Macaca fascicularis: one gene and its partner. The protein of the gene in region 2 purifies or fractionates together with the protein of the main gene of each other region. This does not show direct contact. Links are inferred from orthologs where the notes say so. Each region holds a gene or a part of one and is shown on either strand. Other genes may lie near its edges.

Region 1 (4,182 bases), about 9.2 Mb from region 2:
CTCTCAGCTAATTTTTGCATTTTTAGTAGAGATGGGATTTCACCATGTTGGCCAGGCTGGTCTCGAACTCCTCAAGTGATCCACCCGCCTTGGCCTCCCAAAGTGCTGGGATTACAGGTGTGAGCCACTGCACTTGGCCTTTTTATTGAAACATAAAATTAGTCAATTGAATTTTGCAGTAATTTAGTTATTAAACAGGCTATTGAATCTATCCACAAAACTTAAGATACTTAACAACAGGGCTTCAAATAACTTAAGTGCCAGCTCTCTGATCTCATGGCTAACAACCTGAGATTTCTGCCATCTGGTCCTCGCTCAGGACCTTTGCACTTAAACTGTTAAACACCACCCCCCGCTCCCCCCCGCCTCCAGATCTCGCTTCTATCTGGTTTTTGTTCAAATGTTGCCTCTTCAGAAGAGGCTTCCATTATCAAAATAGACTCGCTCTCATTTCCCATCCCTTTATTCTGCTCCATCGTTCTTCATTATGCTGGCCACTATCTCAAAATATCTTTTATTTTTTATATTTATTTATTTTTGAGACGGAGTCGCTCTGTCGCCCAGGCTGGAGTGCAATGGCACGACCTCGGCTCACTGCAAACTCAGCCTCCCAAGTTCAAGCGATTCTCCTGCCACAGCCTCCCGAGTAACTGGGATTACAGGCGCGCACCGCCACGCCCGGATAATTTTTGTATTTTTAGTAGAGACGGGCTTTCACCATGTTGGTCAGGTTGGTCTCGCACTCCTGACCTCAGGTGATCCGACCGCCTCAGCTTCCCAAAGTTCTGGGATTACATGCGTGATCCACCGCGCCCGGCCTCAAATTATCTTTACTCAGTTAAATGCTTTTATTGTCTCTCCCAGTACAGTGTAAGCCCTAGCAGGAGAAGACTTTGCTTTAATCACGTGCTGTAGCCCCAAAGCCCAGACAGTGCCTAGCACACACGAGATGCTCGATGAACAGTTATCGATTGACTAGATTAAACATCAACGCAATCAGGCCATTCACTTAGGGACTCTTTGCTAGTCGGCGGAGAGGTACATTATAGTTCACTACGCAGAACGCATGCGCGCAAGATCCGGGAAGTGTGATTGGAAAGGGGCGGAGCATCAGGGAGAGCCTCGCGGACATAGGCGGTTTGGAGCGGAAAGCGAGAGGTGGAGGGGCGGCTTGGGGCTAAGCGCGCGCGCGCAGTGCAGACGCCAGCTCCCGGCGGTTGAAATACTCAAGGTGCCCGAAGGCGGGGTGGTGACCTCGCGCGTGCGCTGTTGCCGCGGCGGCGCCGGGTCCTAGCGTGTGGGTTGAGCTTGGCCTCGCGCGGCGCGTGCGCAGTGCAGACGGCGGAGGGATTTGCGGCCGGGACCCACCCCCTGCTCCAGTCGCTAGCCGAGGCCGCGCGGGTTCCTGAGCAGCGGCCTGGTGCGCTCGCTGCGCGGGCGACGGAATCAGACGGACGCGGACGCCCCCAGAGTGGAAGCCCAAGCAGGAGCTGTTGTTGCTGAGGGGCCGCCGCAGCCGCCGCGAGCCTCCGGACAGACACCAGAGCTAGGAGGGCGCTGCGCGGCGAGTGAGTGTGACTGAGTGGCCCGACGGGGAGCGGGGCCGCTACCCAGAAGCCCCAGCGGTGGGCCCGGGCCTCTTCCCCGCGGCCAGGCCCCCTTCCCGCGTCCTCGCCACAGGTCACTTTTGCATCCCTTTCCCGGACCCCGAGTTCTCTGGGCACCCACGCCCGGTCCCCACATCGCCCTCGCGGTTCCCTACCCACAGGCCCTTGCGGTGTGTAGCCTTTTTTCTTTTTCGTTTTTCTATGTTGTCCTGGACCCTTACCCATAATTCCTTTCGCCTTTGCGGGGCCCAGATCTGTTACCCACAATCGCTTGGTTTTGGGGCTTCGCTCCTTATGTTTCTCTTTCTTTGCTCGGAGACTTCCGACCCCCAGGCCCTTGCAAACTGCGTCTAGTAATTTGCTGTCCACGGTACGGGACGAGCAGCCACAACTGCCCTGGGCCTCCCTCCTCGGGTCTTTGATTCCCCCAGAAATTCCCAGGCAACCTCTCCGCCCCACAGCTCGTGTCTCAGGACTCTGAGACTTCACTACTCAGGAACCCTTTTTCAGCCTTTATTTTTGTGTCTTTTACCGGCCTTTCACCTCCACCTCCAACAAGACTTTTACCCTTTTCTCCGTAACACAGGACCGTTCTCTGCCGTTACAAAGCCTGTTTTAATTCCGAGACTTTTCTCCTTTCTTTCTTACTTTGAGAGTCAAGGAGTAATAGGGGCTTTCTCTGCAGACCCGATCTAACCTAAGGCTGTCCTGCTTCTGCTCTCAGACTTGGCAAGATGACCCAGTTCCTGCCGCCCAACCTTCTGGCCCTCTTTGCCCCCCGTGACCCTATCCCATACCTGCCACCCCTGGAGAAACTGCCACATGAAAAACACCACAATCAACCTTACTGTGGCATTGCGCCGTACATTCGAGAGTTTGAGGTGAGTTCACTGAGCAGGCCAGGAATGGTTTGGGTTCTGGGGAGCAAGGGGTTGGATTTGCGAGTCCAGCCTCTGACTATTTTGCTAGCTGTGTGATTTAAGCGAGGGGCTTAATCTTTGTGATCCTCAGTTTCGCTGTTTTAAATGGGGTTGCAGCCGGGTGCCGGGTGTGGTCGAGTGCAGCAGTAGTTCTAGCTACTCAGGAGGCTGAGATGGGAGGATTGCTTGAGCCCAGGAGTTGGGGACTGAAGTGCTCTGTGATTGTGCCGCTATACTCCGGCCTGGGTGACAGAGCAGGACTTTGTCTCTCAAAAAAAAAAAAATTTTTTTTAAAGTGGGGTTGTGGCCCAGTGCGGTGGCTCACGCGTGTAATCCCAGTACTTTGGGAGGCTGAGGCAGGTGGATCACCTGAGGTGAAGAGTTCAAGACCAGCCTGACCAACATGGTGAAACCCCGTCTCTACTAAAAATAACAAAAATTAGCCGGGCATGATGATGCCTGTAATTCCAGCTCCTTGGGAGGCTGAGGCACGAGAATCACTTGAACCCAGGAGGTGGAGGTTGCAATGAGCTGAGATCGTGCCACTGCACTCCAGCCTGGGCAACAGAAGAAGACTGTCTCAAAAAAAAAGTAGGGTTTGATAGTACCCCTTTTGTAGAATTTTTGTGAAAATTCAGTGAGTAGTGGTTGAAGATTGGCACTTAACCCGCACCATTTATCAGCTCTGACTTTGGGCAAATGTTGTATCCTCTTCATGCATTGGTTTCTTTATCTTTAGCAAGGGGATAGTGGTAGCACCCTCATAATGCTGGAGAATTAAATGGCAAAGTGTATATCAGGGGCTTGGCACCAACCAGTCAGCACGTGTCAGCCTTTGTTACTTTGTTTACTGTTTTTATTGTTAATAAGATGATGTTCATAAAGACTTAGCACCCAGTATTGAGTATTGGAGGACTTAAAACTGCAGATGGGGATCTTAGCTCTGCACCTTCGGGGTAAATAGGAATGAATGACTTAGGCTCCTGGACCTCTGTGTTTTTATTTGTGAAATGGGATGACAAAGGTCTTCTCCTAGGTGCATCAGAGCACACCTGAGAAAAACTGGCACATAGCCAGAAGTTACAAGAACATTCTGGCATTGCGTAGGGAAGGGCAGCTGGAGGCGAGGGAGTTGCACAGCAGAAGTTCATAGATAACAGAAAGGTGTATCTTCAGTGGGATTTGCCACCCTTGGTGAACCCGCATTTGAGAAGTGTTACTGGCCAGTTAAATTAACTTAATGGGCACAGGCGGTGGTAGGTGCCCTTTGATGATGCAGGTCATGTGCCAGTTTCTATTTATTTATTTATTTATTTGAGAGGGAGTCTTGCTCTGTCGCCCAGGCTAGAGTGCAGTGGTGCGATCTCAGCTCACTGCAAGCTCCGCCTCCTGGGTTCACGCCATTCTCCTGCCTCAGCCTCCGGAGTAGCTGGGACTACAGGTGCCTGCCACCACGCCCGGCTAATTTTTTGTATTTTTAGTAGAAACGGGGTTTCACCGTGTTAGCCAGGATGGTCTGGATCTCCTGACTTCGTGATCCGCCCACCTTGGCCTCCCAAAGTGCTGGGATTACAGGCGTGAGCCACCGTGCCTGGTCTCAGTTACTAGTTATTTATTTTTTTTTTAATTTTTTTTTTTTTTTTTTTTTTTTTTTT
Region 2 (3,513 bases):
TTAGCCTTGTCTTTCCACACATTTACAAAGAGCCAATCAGTGTCCACTGTTTACCAAAATACCTGTTGGAATTTTGACTGCAATCACGTTGAATATTCATTAATTTGGATGGAACTGACCTCTTGACAATACTGAGTCCTTCTATCCATTGCTGAGTCTCTGATTTCTCCCAGCTACGTTCTGTGATTTCAGTGTAGTCATTCTGCAAACCTTTTGTTGGATTTACCCCTCAGTGCTACTTCTCAATGTGAAGTCTACTTGTCTGTTACTGGCATATAAAAATAAAACTGGGGGTCGGCCATGGTGACTCATGCATGTAATCCTGGCACTTTGGGAGGCTGAGACAGTGAGTTTGAGATTAGCCTGGATGATACAGCTAAGCCCCGTCTCTACAAAAAATGCAAAAGTGAGCTGGGTGGGGTGGCACGCACCGGCAGCTCCAGCTGCTAGGGAGGCTGAGGCAGAGGTTGCAGTGAGCTGTGATGGCACCACTGCACTCCAACCTGGGTGACAGTGAGACCATGTCTCAAAAATAATATTAATAAATAATAAAACTAATTTTTTCCATATTGCCCTTATATCCAGCAACCTTTCTAAATGAAGTTCACTTATTAATCCTAACAGTTGCTTAGTAGACACTTGGACTTTCTACATGCACAATGAGTTACAAGACACAGGCGACAAAATCAAGGCCATGGAGAGAGCGAAACCAAGTCACAGCCATGAAGAAAGACCTTGAGAAACATTCACAAGGAGGAAACAAGCGTTTCAAGAGGATATAGCATCATCTAGGTGCTCAACACCCCAAAAGAGAGACACACATCTCTATAAGGAAACAGAAAGGAGGGGGTCTGAAGCCCCAAGTGGAGAACTCTCCCCACCCTGTCCCAAAGCCAGTCCATGTGGCTGAGGAAGGCTTGGCAGTGGGAGGGCTGGTCTCCAGGGCCTGGCTTACCGGGACAGGCCCCTGGACAGCCCCCACCACAGGGGCAGCTCCCCCGCCTTGCACAGCCTTCTTGGTGGCTGGGGTCTCCTGGCTCTTGGGCTTCCTCTTCTCCCGCTTGCGGTCCCGCTCCACGAAGGTGCCTTTCATCTTGGCAATGATATCTGAGTCAGTCTTGGCGTACTGGATACGCTACCAAAACAGAGAGCAGAACGGGTTAAGAGCGTGGATTCAGAGCCCAATTGCCAAGATTCAAAACTGGACCTTTACCGGGGCCAGGTGTTGTGGCTCATGCCTGTAATCCCAGCCCTTTGGGAGACTAAAGGGAGTAGGTCACTTGAGGTCAGGAGGTGGAGACCAGTTTGGCCATTGCAGCGAAACCCCATTTCTTTGTCTCTGTCTCTCTCTCTTTTTCTTTCTTTCTTTTTTTGAGACATTGTCTTGCTCTGTCACCCAGGCTAAAGTGCAGTGATGAGATCTCAGTTCACTGCAACCTCCACCTCCCAGGTTCAAACAATTCTGCCTCAGTCTCACTACTAGCTGGGATTACAGGCGCCCACCACCATGCCCGGCTAATTTTTGTATTGTTAGTAGAGACAGGGTTTCACCATCTTGGCCAGGCTGGTCTCGAACTCCGGACCTCATGATCCATCCGCCTCAGCCTCCCAAAGTGCTGGGATTACAGGCACTAGCCACCGCGCCTGGCCGGGAAACCCCATTTGTACCAAAAATACAAAAATTAGCTGGGCATGGTGGCATGCACCTGTAGTCCCAGCTACTCAAGAGGCTGAGGCAGGAGGCAGGAGGCAGGAGAATCGCTTGAACCCGGGAGGCGAAGGTTGCAGTGAGCTGAGATCGCGCCTGTGCACTCCAGCCCAGGCGACAGAGCAAGTCACTGTCTCAAAAAACAAAACAAAACAAAAACAAAAAACAAAAAAATCAGACCTTATCAGGAGCTTACTGAGAAACACAGAAATATAAATATCTTGGCCTTAACCTCCTTGTCTGAAAAACGGGGATTATGATACCTCCCACTTCAAAGGACTGTTATGAGGACTAAATGAGTTAAAGTGCTTGGAACAGTACCTGACACACAGTAAGTAAGTGTTCAGTAGAAAGGCTGTTGGTATTTTCAAGGGAAGCTGGAACAGCAATAAACGTCAGGCCAAAAGCCCGAGGAGACAATGCTAGGAGAGGAGTGCAGTGCACGGGGATTTCCTATCACACAAGAATACACCTCAGTCTTCCAGGTTCAATCTCATTCACTTAGCTGTTTAAGAAGAACCTGCCAGGCCGGGCGCGGTGGCTCAAGCCTGTAATCCCAGCACTTTGGGAGGCCGAGACGGGCGGATCACGAGGTCAGGAGATCGAGACCATCCTGGCTAACACAGTGAAACCCCGTCTCTACTAAAAAATACAAAAAAAAAAAAAAAAAAAAACTAGCCGGGCGAGGTGGCGGGCGCCTGTAGTCCCAGCTACTCGGGAGGCTGAGGCAGGAGAATGGCATAAACCCGGGAGGCGGAGCTTGCAGTGAGCCGAGATCCGGCCACTGCGCTCCAGCCTGGGCGACAGAGCAAGACTCTGTCTCAAAAAAAAAAAAAAAAAGAAGAACCTGCCAGATGCCAGGCACAATTCGAGGCTCTGGGAATAAAGCAATGAAAAAAATAGACAAAAACCCCTCTTTCACGGTGCTTATTCAGTAGGGGAAGGTATGTTAAACATTCTTAGTGTGGCACAGTAGCTCACGCCTGTAATCCTAGCACTTTGGGAGGTTGAGGCCGGCAGATCACTGGAGCTCAGGAGTTCGAGACCAGCCTGGGCAACATGGCGAAACCCTATCTCTACTAAAAATACAAAAATCAGCGTTTCCAGGGGAGATAGCATCGTCTATCTCATCAAAAATAAATAAATAAATAAAATAAATTAAAAAAAATTTTTTTAAGATTTCTTTAAATTTATTTTTATTTTTTGAGATATAGTCCTGCTCTGTCACCCAGGCTGGAGTGCAGTGGTGCGATATTGGCTCACTGCAACCTCCGCCTCTCGGGTTCAAGCAATTCTCCTGCCTCAGCCTCCCAAGTAGCTGGGATTACAGGTGCCAGCCATCATGCCCAGCTGATTTTTGTATTTTTGTAGAGACAGGGTTTCGCCATGTTGGCCAGGCTGGTCTCGAACTCCTGACCTCAGGTAATCCACTGGCCTCAGCCTCCCAAAGTGCTGGGATTACAGGCATGAGCCACCATGTCCAGCCAAATATACATATATATACGTATTTTGAGACAGTCTCACTCTGTCACCCAGGCTGGAGAGCAGTGGCAGGATCTCGGCTCACTGCAACCTCTGCCTCCCAGGTTCAAGCAATTCTCCTTCCTCAGCCTCCCGAGTAGCTGGGACTACAGGCGCATGCTGCCACGCCCAGCTAATTTTTGTATTTTAGTAGACGGGGTTTCACAGTGTTGCCCAGGCTAGTCGCAAACTCCTGAGCTCAGGTAAACTGCCTGCCTCGGCCTCCGAAAGTGCTGGGATTACAGGCATGAGCCACCGCACTCCGCCAAAAAAATTTTTAAAGG

What was found. The genes of interacting proteins can lie anywhere in the genome.
Region 1: the proteins of SNRPA (region 2) and SNRNP70 purify together in Homo sapiens (affinity purification with mass spectrometry; 4 studies listed by BioGRID and IntAct, counting the BioPlex papers as one, with this or other methods). This does not show direct contact. The link is inferred for Macaca fascicularis from reciprocal best matches to the Homo sapiens genes SNRPA and SNRNP70.

Annotation. Positions count from the first base shown.
Region 1 is NC_088393.1:57,061,363-57,065,544, forward strand, and holds the start of SNRNP70 (U1 small nuclear ribonucleoprotein 70 kDa), read left to right. Parts: upstream 1-1,378; 5' UTR 1,379-1,572; exon of another isoform or gene 1,573-1,777; intron 1,778-2,331; 5' UTR 2,332-2,341; coding exon 2,342-2,488; intron 2,489-4,182. UniProt on the Homo sapiens protein: Component of the spliceosomal U1 snRNP, which is essential for recognition of the pre-mRNA 5' splice-site and the subsequent assembly of the spliceosome. SNRNP70 binds to the loop I region of U1-snRNA.
Region 2 is NC_088393.1:47,872,367-47,875,879, reverse strand, and holds part of SNRPA (U1 small nuclear ribonucleoprotein A), read right to left. Parts: intron 1,136-3,513; coding exon 956-1,135; intron 1-955. UniProt on the Homo sapiens protein: Component of the spliceosomal U1 snRNP, which is essential for recognition of the pre-mRNA 5' splice-site and the subsequent assembly of the spliceosome. U1 snRNP is the first snRNP to interact with pre-mRNA.